4 linked regions of the Saccharomyces cerevisiae S288C genome follow. The protein of the gene in region 1 binds, or shares a complex with, the protein of each later gene. Each region holds a gene or a part of one and is shown on either strand. Other genes may lie near its edges. The genes, in order: NAM9, RSM10, MRP2 and MRPS5.

Region 1 (4,319 bases):
TATATCTGCTACACTACATTAAATACAGATACCTCTATGGAACGGATGAGCGTTTATTATCGCGATCTATATATGAGCAGTGATTATTTTTTATTTCGTAGCCTGCTGGAAACTCTTGTGGCAGGAGGGCTATTTTTACGAGAGCCTGCCTTCCGCCTTTTCCTTTTCGGCGAGGTTTCATTGCTAGTATTACCTGTGGATGATGAATGCCTAGTTCTCTTTGCTAATGGTTCATTTTTGTCCTTAGAATCCTTTTTGGTATCATCCTGTTGATCATCTCCTTTTTTGTTTTCCGTTTTTTTCTTTAAGTTGCCCCCTTCTGATTCAATTTGTTTTCCTTTACCTTCTGCCTCACGTTCAGACTCGTATCCCAGTTCTTCGTCAACTCCTTCGTCAACTCCTTCGCTTTCAGAGCCATTGGTATTTTCATAAGAGGTGGATTTTTCACGCTCATCATCACCTTCTTCGTTTTCGTTTTTTTCCTTATCTACTTCTTCATTGTGGGTTATTTTTGGCTCCTGGATCTCCTCTTTCTTTTCTTTCTGTTCTTCGTCTTTCGTATTATCTTCTTCTATCTCTTCCTTTTCTTCATCTTCAAATTTAACTTCCTTACTTCTTTTCAACCTTTGAGATTTTCTTACTGGAGCTGCTGTTTTATTTGTACTTTTCATTTTCTGTTCTTCTTCACTCATATGTTCCCTCTGGAGTTCCTTTTCATCGCTTTGCACCTCCTTAATGGGTTCTTTCTGGACGTCTATGGGGCTATCATTTTCCTCTGTATGATATTCAGGCAACTCTTTCACTTTAATTGTCGCATTTTTTTCCTGTTTATTGTTGTCGTTCTTTAGGTCTGTAGAAGGACTTTCCTTTGGAATTGTACTATCTTTCTCATTCATATCTTCAACTCGAGGATACTCTTCGTTAGAGTTTGGACTTTTTCTTGCATTTTCTAAGATCAACTCACCGTATTCCTCCCAAGGTAATGTAAAATCTTGCTTGCGTACTCTTATTCGATTATTCAATTCAAGTAAAGTTTCTTCATGAATTTCTGCATCGTCACCATTTCCATTGCCATTCCGTGAACTCTCTGTAGTGGCTTCCAAGGAATATGTATTCTCCATTTCATCAATTTTCTCTAAATTGTAAGATTGGCTCAACTTATCCCATATGTCTTTTGCAGTAAATACCTTCCCCAACTTCATGGTTTCTTTCTGTAATAGCGTCACTGGATACTTATCTGGCGAATTCATTCTTTCCACTATGCAAAACATGTGGAAATGCTTATGAATTCCGGCCGGTTTGAATTCAGATGCCCATCTAAGAAGTCGTATTTCATCCACAATTGTCCAATGTACTACCATCACATCCACGATTCCCTTTTCTTCACTAGCAGCTAGCAACTTCTAATAAACTCCGCCAATCCATCTTCATAGATTATATGATTGATTTCTTCGTTAAGCACGATTTTACTTTTCATGGTGGCAGCCGGATACGTTTCGCTTCGCAGTATTAGTTAAGGAACTATGCTGAAGATATACAAAAAGAGAGAGCGAACGGTCAAAAAGGTGAAGGTTTCCCCAGAGGAAGTGCAACTAATTCGAATATATATCGAGTAGGAGCTCCTTTATACTTTTTTGGTACGGAAGACTGGTTACAATTAAAATACAGAGATAATGCCAAGAAAGGCTAATTTGCTAAAATCTTTGGCAAGAGGACGAGTACGCACTTCTTTCAATAAGTATAATTTGTTTAATTTGTACAAAAAGGGTGGTGTAGACTTGAAGTCTAAATCTTTGTATCAACAGAAGTGGACGGCAAAGCAGGAAACCCGAGCTTATCATGGTGAACATTTGACAGAAAAGAGATGGCAAACCGTTTTCAAACCCAAATTGGATTCAGTAGCACAATTGGATGCTTCACTGCGTGGAGGTGAAATCAAGGAAACACCATTTTTATTACAAACTTTTGCAGTATTAGAAAAAAGGCTTGATTTTGCCCTTTTCAGGGCTATGTTTGCTTCGTCAGTAAGACAAGCTCGTCAGTTCATCTTGCATGGAAATGTTCGCGTTAATGGTGTAAAAATTAAGCATCCAAGCTATACTTTAAAGCCTGGAGATATGTTCAGTGTCAAACCGGACAAAGTGCTGGAAGCTCTCGGTGCCAAGAAACCAAGTTTCCAAGAAGCGCTAAAGATCGATAAGACTCAAATAGTTTTATGGAACAAGTATGTTAAGGAAGCGAAAACGGAGCCAAAGGAAGTTTGGGAGAAGAAGTTGGAAAATTTTGAAAAGATGTCGGATTCTAACCCAAAGAAACTTCAGTTTCAAGAATTTTTGAGGCAATATAATAAGAATCTGGAGTCACAGCAATATAACGCATTAAAGGGATGCACACAGGAAGGTATCTTGAGAAAGCTTTTAAATGTAGAGAAGGAAATAGGTAAGTCGAATAATGAGCCCTTGTCGATAGATGAACTCAAACAGGGTCTCCCTGAGATCCAGGACTCTCAGTTGTTAGAAAGTCTAAATAACGCTTATCAAGAGTTTTTCAAATCCGGTGAAATTAGAAGAGAAATCATTTCTAAATGTCAGCCTGACGAGTTGATTTCACTGGCTACAGAAATGATGAATCCTAACGAAACCACAAAAAAAGAATTATCTGATGGAGCCAAATCCGCTTTAAGATCTGGAAAAAGAATCATAGCGGAAAGCGTGAAACTATGGACGAAAAATATAACAGACCACTTCAAAACTAGGATGAGTGATATTTCTGATGGTTCACTAACGTTCGACCCCAAATGGGCCAAAAATTTAAAATATCATGATCCGATTAAATTATCTGAATTGGAAGGTGATGAACCAAAAGCACGTAAATTGATAAACTTGCCGTGGCAGAAAAATTATGTTTATGGTAGGCAAGATCCTAAAAAACCCTTTTTCACACCATGGAAGCCAAGACCATTTTTATCGCCTTTCGCCATTTTACCTCATCATTTGGAAATATCTTTCAAGACATGCCACGCTGTATACCTAAGGGATCCCGTCGCTCGACCAGGCCAATCCGAAGTAATTTCACCATTTGATGTTCCTGTTCATGAACGTGCATATATGTATTACTTGAGAAATGGTAAATGATCGTCGTGTATTGTTGCACGCGTCTTTTGACTGATCTTCAGCCTCTCTTTACACTGTAAATATTTAATTTTTTTTGTTTTTAAGTTCTACTCGAACGATCAAGTAGTCACTTAGTCGCTCCTCGTTTTCCTGTTACTTCTTTAAGAAAAGGTTACACATGAAAAAAAGGTTTTACAAAAAGTATATAATTGTTTATTCATTCACTTTTCTTTCTGATTGATTCAAATGTGATTTATTTCTTTTAACTAAATACAATTAATGCTCCTCGCAATATTAACCAGCATGTTCGAAAACAGCAGATTTGAACTTACCATCAGCGAAGCTATGCTTCATCTGTTCAGGGATTGGGAATTCTACGTAATCATCGTCCTCGCCGATTGGTAAGTTGACGTTAATAGCAGTTGAGCACGAGGTGTAGATTTCAGTATTCAAGGATTCCTTGGATAAATAGATGTTACCGCCGTCAGATTTATCAATGGAGATTTGAGGTAGGGAATGGTTAACTTGAATGCCAAACTTGTTGGATTTGATGACATCCATACCGGAAATGCTAGAATCAAGAACAACACTGCATGACTCAGTTTCACTCAACGAGATAGCGTTAACTTTTCCTTTTATTTGAACAAGAACTTGAGAACATTTACCTATGAAGATAGACTCATCTTTATTTGCATCAATAACCAGAGATTCAGTTTCATTTTCGTAATTCTCAATAAACCATTTGTTTCCTACCAATTCCTTTCTAGGAGGCCTCTTAGTTTTCAATGTTGATGGCTTTTTTGGCCTTGGTGGTGGACCGGATTTACTTCCTGTGGAAGAAACTGTAGAGGATTGACGTAATTCAGGATTTTTGTGAGTTTGTTGGGATTTGTCTACTTTTTTCAAACCCTTAGTGATATTTTCACCCTGATTTAGTTCGGCGAAGACCGCGCCAATACCGCCTTTGTTAGCATCACTACTCGTTGCTGGTGTATCATTAGAGATTTCAAAGACGGAAGCTGGTGGGGCTGGTGGAGGAGGTGGTGGTGCTGGAGCCGCTGTAGCACTTGCTGGCGAAGGAGATGAAGTAGCACCTGTATTCTTCGTTGATTGTGCCATCGCGTCAGCAAAATCCATACCGTCTTTTTTCCAGGAAACCCCAGTAGTATGATACTCTTTAATGTAGGCTTTCAAATTATCGAAAGA
Region 2 (3,319 bases), on another chromosome or scaffold:
TGTAATCAATTTTAGTGTCATCACCCAATGTGTTCTCACCCACTGTTTTCAATCTGTGGACGAACTCATCTTGGGTCAAACCTTCAGTTAGACTTGTGCCTATGAATTCAGCGGCTTCTTCTGCAGTCAGCGTGTGATAAGCATTGAATTCTGCATTATTGTTTTCCTTAGTAGTTCCTTCGCCCATCGAAAATTTTCAATTCTGTGTACGAAGTTTTTTCTTTAATTAGTAAATATACGTATTGTTGCCTCAAATAAATGTGAATTAAGTGTGAACAGTTCACTTGATGAAGATATCTGCTTTATTAAAGTTAATATTAGAATATAAATGATTAGACTATTACTAATGAGAAAAGAAAGATAGGAGAAATAGTAGAAATTAATAGTACTCTAAAAAGAAAGAACGGAATAAGAGGAAAAGACCTTTTATCTATTCAAATTGTTTCCCTTAGGTATATATATATATATATATATATATATATATTTTCCCTGTATATATCTATGTAAATGACGAAAACGCATGACATTTTAAAACCTACCCCGGGTTTGACCACAACCCACCGTTCATCTAATATTAACCCGCACCCACCAAGGAAAGAGGCAATAATTCGGGAATACTGCTCTAAGACCTTGTTTTTTCTTCTGTCAGGTGAAAGTATATGACCAAAATCTACATCCCTGCCCTAACAAACGTCATAGAAGTAGGAAATAAATGATGAGCCCCGCAAAATGACGCCGCACGGCGATGTTTAAGACCCTGTACTCACAATGTAACCACTTCGTGCAGAAGCTTCTGGGAGGAAAGGGTCCGTACATGAATTATCACACCCACACCCCTCATTCAATCCTTCTACCGCGCATGGTAATCAATCATAACAGGAAGCGATAAGAAAGTTTACATTGCACAGCCACCCTCATTGCCTCTGTGATTGAAGATCTGGGAGTGGGGCTAAAGGTGCAACTTCCGTACAAGAGTGACGAGATAAAGGATTTTCCACGGAATGGCTGACAAAATTCGGGGCTTGTGTGAGTTCCACGTGCGGATGACTTAATAAGCTCAGTGATTGTACTTTTGACATGATTGATGAACGGCTAGAGATAGCCACCGAGTGGCTACTTAGTAATAACCAGCGTAGGAAACAATTACGGATTTTGTTATCGTTCACCGATAACCCTAAAATATTGACCACACTGGTAGTCATTAGAATTTAACCAAGAGGGTAGCTTAGTTCGACCGATAATCAATATTACTGAAGTCTTATCAAATTCTGACTCTTGCCATACCGTTTCTTATCGTCACTGTTTAATCCGGAAATTAGTCATGTATCCACACATCCTTTATTAACAGCAGAGAGATTGGGCAAGAATGTTAGCAAACTATGTACCAGGCGGGTAATACCTGTACATCTATTTTCTTTTGAAAAGGAAAAAATGCAAGAAAGGGCATGAAATGAAACTATTTGGTACAAATTAGAATTATGCGAACCGTGCAAAATCAGAAAAGGGGGAAAAACATTGGCCAATGCTTAGAAATACCATTGCATTAAGATCATTTATCAGAACACAGTCGACGCGCCCATATCCTGTAAATGTAGAGGCAGTCTACTATGCTCCTTTAAAGTTACCTATCAAATATGGTGATTTAGTTGCAGACATTCAGTTAAGATCGTATGACAATGAAAACCTCGATTTTTATTCAGACTTCATACTTAGAACAGGTTACTATTTGGGTATCCCATTGACAGGTCCTAAACCTTTGCCCACGAGAAGAGAAAGGTGGACTGTAATAAAATCACCTTTCGTGCACGCTAAATCCAAAGAGAATTTTGAAAGACATACACATAAGAGGCTCATTAGGGCCTGGGATACGAACCCCGAAGTGCTACAGATGTTGATAGCTTACATTACGAAGCACTCTATGGCAGGCGTCGGAATGAAATGTAACTTCTTTCAAAGGTCCGAAATATCGCTGGACTTGGGTTCGGACGCCAATGGCCTCGAAAAATCACTAAGCAATATCGATGAATTGTATTCTCTGAGAAACGATGATAAAGCTCAAACTAGTGCTGTCGGACAAAAAGTATTGGAACTATTGGATAGCCCCGATTTTAAAAAACATTTGGAAAAGAAGTAAAAAGATGATGGCAATCCTATAATTACGCTGGTTCTTGGGACCGAAAAGATTTCGTACTTGTAAATAAAATAGGTGAAGAAGAGGGGCAAAAAGTAGTAGATTAAATGGTTATACTGAATTTATAAGTAAGTTTAATTATATTTTTTAACTATATGATGAACAATTTTGTACTAATATTGCGGCCCGTTATGAGTATTGCTCTTGCCATAAAAGTGTGTTCACTGCTTTGTTTCCTGGTACTGCATACCGCTTAATATTGTTATCGCTCAATAAATTTAGTTTCTGGAAGCTTTCCAAGGACTTACCAGGTAGCGGGCCTGAGAATCTATTTTTTAGTCCATCGGCTACAAAAATCGGTAGTATATTTGTTCTTGGTAAGTAAGCTTTGCTAAAGGAAAGTGTCCTTTTTCTGTTTGTATTCTTCTTCGAATTCCACCTGAAATGTTGGACATTCAGGGATGTGTGTAACCGATACTTCTGGTCAGAGAGTTTGTATACAATATACTCCGCTAATCTGAAAATGGTAAAAAATAATATAAAAACATTCTTGGTAGCAGATATGGAATCTGAATTCATATTGAGAAAGTTTCGCTCAGTACTCCAACTACTTTCGAGCAGAGTAGTGGAATCAGATTCCATTATTGAGGCTTTCGTTCCGAATAATTGTATAACTGGGTTATAAAATAGTTGTTGGAAAATAGAAAAAATGAGGACCTTTAGAAACTTTAAACCTTGAAAAGTAGAAAGGGTAGAAATTTTAAGGCTTTGATTATATAATATTTGCTCCATGTTGTGAAAAGAAAAAGATTTTTTCTCTTAGAGACCTAGTCGTTTGTTAGCTGTTGTTGATTCGCTATTTTCAATAGTAAAGTTTCTAATAAAATGACAAACATGAAGAAGATATAAGTGCGTGTTCTTCCAATATATAATATTTGTACTGCAGATACACAGATTCAAATTTTTCCCTGTTATCCGCCTTTCTTCTTGGAAATTGGTAACAGGATTTTGTGTCATTAGCAAAAATAATAGCCATTAGTAAGTACGCTTTGTTATCCCGACGCGAAACAGAAACAGAAATAAAGAAAATGAAAGCTACTCTGATTTACGTTACCGCCATTGAAGATGGAGGATGAAGCACAATAAGAATAAGAAAAAAGAAAATCAGCAAGAATGACGCGAAAATAT
Region 3 (3,067 bases), on another chromosome or scaffold:
CGAAGGACTCAATAATCGAAGCCACTTGGTCTTGAGTAGTGGCCAGTTCTTGCTGCAATTGTTCATTGTTAGTGCTGTTTCCATTCATCTTATCGGTTTATTTTTCTATATATTTGCCTCTTTCTCAAACAGGAGTTAGTAGTTAAAAGTACGAAGTTCTTGTTCTTTAATGCGCGCTGACAAAAGAATTGGATAAAAGAGAATGGTGGGGGGACAAGAAGGAAATTTGTCCTAGTTTAACATGAATGGCATCTTGTTACCGGGTGGACATCACCTATTGATTCTAAATATCTTTACGGTTTATCATACTGTTCTTTATTCCGTCGTTATTCTTTTTATTTTTATCATCATTTCACGTGGCTAGTAAAAGAAAAGCCACAACATGACTCAGCAAATCTCGACAAAGTAAAAGCTCATAGAGATAGTATTATATTGATATAAAAAAAGTATACTGTACTGTTTGTAACCTTTTCAATGCTTTAAGATCAAAACTAAGGCCAGCAAAGGTATCAACCCATAGCAACTCATAAAATGAAGACCTATCATTTGAATAATGATATAATTGTCACACAAGAACAGTTGGATCATTGGAATGAACAACTAATCAAGCTGGAAACGCCACAGGAGATTATTGCATGGTCTATCGTAACGTTTCCTCACCTTTTCCAAACCACTGCATTTGGTTTGACTGGCTTGGTTACTATCGATATGTTGTCAAAGCTATCTGAAAAATACTACATGCCAGAACTATTATTTATAGACACTTTGCACCATTTCCCACAAACTTTAACACTAAAAAACGAGATTGAGAAAAAATACTACCAGCCTAAAAATCAAACCATTCACGTATATAAGCCGGATGGATGTGAATCGGAGGCAGATTTTGCCTCGAAATACGGGGATTTCTTATGGGAGAAAGATGATGACAAGTACGATTATCTGGCCAAAGTGGAACCTGCACATCGTGCCTACAAAGAGCTACATATAAGTGCTGTGTTTACTGGTAGAAGAAAATCACAAGGTTCTGCCCGCTCCCAACTGTCGATTATTGAAATAGACGAACTTAATGGAATCTTAAAAATAAATCCATTGATCAATTGGACGTTCGAGCAGGTTAAACAGTATATAGATGCAAACAATGTACCATACAACGAACTTTTGGACCTTGGATATAGATCCATTGGTGATTACCATTCCACACAACCCGTCAAGGAAGGTGAAGATGAGAGAGCAGGAAGATGGAAGGGCAAGGCCAAGACCGAGTGTGGAATTCATGAAGCCAGCCGATTCGCGCAATTTTTAAAGCAAGATGCCTAGATAGATAGAGTACGATATATAACCATATGTATGTGACTAATTATTTATTCCTTAATAACACCAATGATTACAACTTTCTAAAGCTGGCGGAGAATTCGCGCTGTACGAGAAAAGAGCGAAAACAGAGGAATATTCAAACTAAGAACCAAACTGCGATAAAGAGGATTGAAAGGAAAAACGAAAGAAAAGGTAAACTGACAAATATATACATTAACCGATGGGTAATTTCAGATTTCCTATAAAAACCAAGCTACCACCAGGGTTTATCAATGCTCGCATACTTAGGGATAACTTCAAAAGACAACAATTTAAAGAGAATGAAATCCTTGTTAAATCTTTGAAATTCATCGCTAGAAATATGAACCTTCCAACAAAACTGAGGTTGGAGGCTCAGTTAAAACTAAATGCATTGCCAAACTACATGAGATCTACGCAGATCAAAAATAGGTGCGTGGACTCTGGACATGCAAGATTTGTTCTAAGTGATTTTAGGTTGTGTAGGTATCAATTTAGAGAAAACGCTCTGAAGGGTAATTTGCCAGGTGTTAAGAAGGGTATTTGGTAAAAAATTTTATCGCGAAAGTATATATATATATATATATAGGATACGCACTTGTAAATAAATACATGATAATTTTTATTCTTCTTTAATAGATGATAATACTTACTGAGCAATACACTTATATGTAGAGAAGAATAAGATTATACACATACTGGGAGAAAAACAAGTAGCTATAGTTAGAGCTAAAATAACAAAAAAAGGCATACGTACATACAATGAGAAAAGGAATGGGATTGAAAAAGGGCAGTATCTGCCACTAAGTTAACGACTGAGAGATCGAGACACTCCTATAACAAGACACACTTCTTCTTCTTCTTTTCAGTAGTGTTCTTCTTAGCTTTACCATTCGTTTTAGATTTACCCATCAATGAAGCTCTAGTGGCGGCCTCAAACACTTCTCTGACACCATAACCAGTCTTGGCCGAACATTCGTAGTATCCGGTTGCGCCAATCTGGTCTGCTACAGATTGTCCCTCCTGTGATGTAACGGGTTGTTGACCTTCTTGTCTTAATTGTTCAATGGTTTGTGGGTCGTTTCTCAAATCCACTTTACAACCAACAAGAATAATTGGCACACCTTGACAGAAATGTAATACTTCGGCAATCCATTTTTCTTGTACATTCTCTAAAGAATCTGGAAGATCGATAGAGAAACAAATTAATACGACATTGGAGTCTGGGTATGACAATGGTCTTAGTCTATCATAATCTTCTTGACCAGCGGTATCCCATAGCGCTAGCTCTACACGACGCCCATCAACTTCAACATCTGCTACATAGTTTTCAAAGACAGTTGGTACGTAGACTTCTGGAAATTGGCCCTTGGAAAAGACGATTAATAAACATGTCTTACCACAGGCACCATCACCAACGATTACCAGCTTTCTTCTGATACTGTTACCAACTTGTTGTGACATCTTTCTAGTATAATTTTTAAAGTTCTATGATTTTCTATTAGTGCAACAATAAACCTCTAACAGCGATTCTTTTGTTTTATTAATTTTGTTCCTTTTTTGAGTTTTGTAACTTTAAGTTTGGGTTGTTCCAAAAATGTTTTTGCAATACTCAGAGGAATGATCGATGGTCGAAACGATATTAAAGACGAATTCCTGCTGGTAAAATAAATATATACGATTAGGATAAAGAAGTATTTGTATCAACTACTAAAACATGTAGTACCCAATACAA
Region 4 (3,813 bases), on another chromosome or scaffold:
AAAAATTAATTCAACTCAAGAAATTAAAAAATGGTGGCACTACAATCAAGAAGGCTAAGGAAGACCTTGAGTATTGCTATGATTCACTACGGCTGTACGAAAATCCCTATGTAACATCATCTGTAGATAAAAAATGTGGTTACAGCATTGAATTGTATCTAGATAACAAGTACAAAACACTAATGTTCTCCGATTTACAATTGAATGCTGACTATCCGTTGTATTACGATTCCTCACTGGATAATATATCTACAAATGTTGAAAGAGAAAGAGCCACTCCTCTACAAATCAAAGGAAAGATTAGGATAAACATTGATAGAGAAGACCAGGCCCTCTTAATCACTTCCCATTCAATTTCTTTAAAATGTTTCACAAAGGAATATGCATGCTTTGTAAATTCAGAAACTAGCAAAAACTCCTATAGTGACAAAATTATCAAAGAACTTAATCACACAGAGTTTTTTGAGTCTTCCACCTACCCCAAACAGCAGTTGAGAGTCATACACCACTCATTAAATGATAAGAAAATTCTATTGACAAAGGGCACGTACGATTACCCATTCACTTTTACCCTTCAAGCAAATACTTTCCCAGCAAGTTTCTCTTCCTTCTTTGGCAAGACCCATTTTCGAATAGAAAGCTTAACAACAATAATGAGAATACCAAGTAAACCTAAAAACTTACTCAAATTTTTGAAGAATGAAAGTTTTACAGATAAGATCATTTTAACAGAAGAAATTAAAGTTAAAAGAGTCCTGCCTTCAACGAGTATGCTTAAGTTTGAAACATTTCAATTAAGGTCATACAATACTGCAAGTGAGATCGTAGTATCGGTCATTGGAAACTCCAAGTTGATTGAAATTGGTATGCCTTTCCAAATGATATTATCAATTACCAAAACAGATTCTTCCATTGAATTACAGGAAGCTTCTTTGGCAGTTGCACAGAGAATGGCAATACCAAGTATTGATTTGAAGACCAAGAAAATACTACGAGAGCCATACATTAAAAAGTCCGAGTATTTACTAAGAACTGTAGAAAGCCAAAGTTTCGATTCCGACAAGACCATTTTCGGATTTTGCTTTGATGACGTTGTCATCCCAACCTATGCGGATGGTCTACCGAGCTGGTTTAAAACATTCTACTGTGAACCAAGTTCATTTTATCCCAATCATGCTGCCCTCAAAGTAACTCATTTGCTTTTGTTCAGAATAACCTATAGCAGGAATGAATTGGTGGAAGGGCTTGAAATGAAAAAAAATTATCGTATTACGGTGAATTTTCCAATTTTAGTTGGCGATAGTGATATTTCGACCAGCTCTTTGTTACCCAAATATGAAAAATTTGAAAATATTAGTGATCTACAAGATGAACCCCCACTATATTCTATGGTAGCAGGTGAGAATAGCTTATGAATGTTCGGTACCTCAGAACAACGCCTCTATTTTATCCTTTTTTTTTTTATTTGCATGATATACATATACTATTTTTTATTAGTTTCTTATTCTACTATGTATTTACGTAACAATAAATTTACAGGTCTCTCTTTTTGTAAGTATCTTGCACGCTGATATCTATAATACTACTTCACAAGTTGATCAGCTTCCGAGATAGACATTTTATGTATCAAGTCGCCATGTCCGTTCTCTACTGGCCGGTGTATATTATGATATTTCGACCGGTTCTAATACATAAGCACCGCCCACTCTGAGGAGAAGACATTTTTACAAGAATTACTAGCCATATTTTCCCTTGTCAAATTAGAGAAGGAAAAATTACTTGAAACATCCCGTGTTTGGGCACTAAAAGTATATCAATAGGAGCTGAAGAACACTACACTAGACTCTCTTGGCGTGAAGGCCTTATTATGTGAACTTTCGTAGGTTTGACTTTTACTACCAGTATGAAAAAGGTTAGAGTTTATTCAATCAAATGGAAAAGTTTTACAACTGAGCTAGTGATCTCCAAATGAGGTAGCAAGTAACAGTCGTATGTATCCCATACATTTATGTATCCCATATATTTCATTACATGGTGATGCTTTCTTTTATTCGCGGAGTAAAGTTCCTTAAAGTGAAAAAAAAAAAAAGACGAATTGACAAGACAATAATACAAGCACCACTAAAAGACCTATCGTTATTGTTGTCAAAGTAGACGGTAAACCATACAAGAAACAGATTTCATAGATCAATAGGTAAAGATGTTCAAGAGGCAATTATCGACTAGTGTTCGTTATCTACAGCATTATGATGAGTCGCTATTATCAAGGTACTATCCTGAAAGTCTTTTAAAATCCATAAAACTTGCTCAACAAACGATACCAGAAGATACTAAATTCAGAGTATCTCGTAACGTGGAATTCGCACCACCATATTTGGATGATTTTACCAAAATACATCCTTTTTGGGATTACAAACCAGGCATGCCCCATCTCCACGCTCAAGAGGAGAATAATAACTTCAGCATCTTTAGATGGGACCAGGTACAACAACCATTACCAGGCGAAGGTAACATTCTGCCTCCAGGAGTCAGCTTACCAAACGATGGTGGTCGGAAATCGAAAAGCGCCGATGTAGCTGCAGGGCTACACAAGCAAACCGGTGTAGATCCGGATTATATCACTAGAAAGTTGACTATGAAGCCGCTGGTGATGAAAAGAGTGTCAAATCAGACTGGGAAGGGTAAAATTGCGTCTTTCTATGCCTTGGTTGTCGTTGGTGACAAAAACGGTATGGTAGGTTTGGGAGAAGGTAAATCTCGTGAAGAAATGTCCAAAGCGATCTTTAAAGCTCATTGGGATGCGGTAAGGAACCTGAAGGAAATACCTAGGTATGAAAACAGAACTATTTATGGTGATATAGATTTTAGGTATCATGGTGTGAAACTACATTTAAGAAGTGCAAAACCAGGGTTTGGATTACGTGTAAACCATGTAATCTTTGAGATTTGTGAATGTGCAGGTATCAAAGATCTGAGTGGGAAAGTATATAAATCCAGAAACGATATGAATATAGCTAAAGGTACCATCGAGGCTTTCACGAAAGCTCAAAAGACATTGGATGAGGTTGCCCTGGGTAGAGGCAAAAAGCTTGTTGATGTCAGGAAAGTTTACTATTCAAGCTGAAATACTATGTACATACACACGCACCATTATCTCTCGTTTTACATAAGTAAATACAGCAATAATAATACCTGTAAATATCTCAACATACTCAATCAAATGAGCTGATAAGCATATTCAATTTTTCTTCATAGCAATATTTTTTTCTGTCCAAGTTTTATTTTTTTTCCATAATTTCTGATTTACTACCATTGAAAATTATAAAAGGAAAAATATTACGCGCTACCATTTAATAAGTAGAAACAACTAAGTTCTCGAATGAGATGTTTGCACTGATACAGCGAGCCAAAAAATAACCAAATGACTGCTACTAGCGACAAAGTACTAAAGATTCAATTGCGCTCAGCAAGCGCTACTGTACCTACCAAAGGTTCTGCCACTGCCGCGGGATACGACATTTATGCATCTCAGGATATTACCATTCCGGCTATGGGTCAAGGTATGGTTTCCACCGACATATCGTTCACCGTACCTGTTGGTACCTACGGTCGTATTGCGCCAAGGTCAGGCCTGGCAGTGAAAAACGGTATCCAAACCGGTGCTGGTGTTGTCGACAGAGATTACACCGGTGAAGTTAAAGTAGTTTTATTCAATCATTCACAGAGGGATTTCGCGATCAAAAAAGGTGATCGCGTAGCCCAATTGATTCTGGAAAAAATTGTCGATGATGCCCAGATCGTTGTTGTAGACTC

What was found.
Region 2: NAM9 (region 1) and RSM10 share a complex: the UniProt entries of both Saccharomyces cerevisiae proteins name them as parts of the mitochondrial small ribosomal subunit.
Region 3: NAM9 (region 1) and MRP2 share a complex: the UniProt entries of both Saccharomyces cerevisiae proteins name them as parts of the mitochondrial small ribosomal subunit.
Region 4: NAM9 (region 1) and MRPS5 share a complex: the UniProt entries of both Saccharomyces cerevisiae proteins name them as parts of the mitochondrial small ribosomal subunit.

Annotation. Positions count from the first base shown.
Region 1 is NC_001146.8:367,410-371,728, reverse strand, and holds NAM9 (mitochondrial 37S ribosomal protein uS4m NAM9), read left to right. Parts: upstream 1-1,673; coding exon 1,674-3,134; downstream 3,135-4,319. Other genes in the region: EAF7 (Eaf7p), read right to left, coding at 84-1,361; SRV2 (adenylate cyclase-binding protein), read right to left, coding at 3,408-4,319. UniProt on the Saccharomyces cerevisiae protein: Component of the mitochondrial ribosome (mitoribosome), a dedicated translation machinery responsible for the synthesis of mitochondrial genome-encoded proteins, including at least some of the essential transmembrane subunits of the mitochondrial respiratory chain.
Region 2 is NC_001136.10:538,281-541,599, forward strand, and holds RSM10 (mitochondrial 37S ribosomal protein uS10m RSM10), read left to right. Parts: upstream 1-1,522; coding exon 1,523-2,134; downstream 2,135-3,319. Other genes in the region: Na(+)/Li(+)-exporting P-type ATPase ENA1, read right to left, coding at 1-187; YDR042C (uncharacterized protein), read right to left, coding at 2,321-2,923. UniProt on the Saccharomyces cerevisiae protein: Component of the mitochondrial ribosome (mitoribosome), a dedicated translation machinery responsible for the synthesis of mitochondrial genome-encoded proteins, including at least some of the essential transmembrane subunits of the mitochondrial respiratory chain.
Region 3 is NC_001148.4:875,097-878,163, reverse strand, and holds MRP2 (mitochondrial 37S ribosomal protein uS14m MRP2), read left to right. Parts: upstream 1-1,534; coding exon 1,535-1,882; downstream 1,883-3,067. Other genes in the region: mediator complex subunit NUT2, read right to left, coding at 1-88; MET16 (phosphoadenylyl-sulfate reductase (thioredoxin)), read left to right, coding at 532-1,317; Rho family GTPase RHO1, read right to left, coding at 2,167-2,796. UniProt on the Saccharomyces cerevisiae protein: Component of the mitochondrial ribosome (mitoribosome), a dedicated translation machinery responsible for the synthesis of mitochondrial genome-encoded proteins, including at least some of the essential transmembrane subunits of the mitochondrial respiratory chain.
Region 4 is NC_001134.8:719,190-723,002, forward strand, and holds MRPS5 (mitochondrial 37S ribosomal protein uS5m MRPS5), read left to right. Parts: upstream 1-2,200; coding exon 2,201-3,124; downstream 3,125-3,813. Other genes in the region: SPO23 (Spo23p), read left to right, coding at 1-1,415; DUT1 (bifunctional dITP/dUTP diphosphatase), read left to right, coding at 3,422-3,813. UniProt on the Saccharomyces cerevisiae protein: Component of the mitochondrial ribosome (mitoribosome), a dedicated translation machinery responsible for the synthesis of mitochondrial genome-encoded proteins, including at least some of the essential transmembrane subunits of the mitochondrial respiratory chain.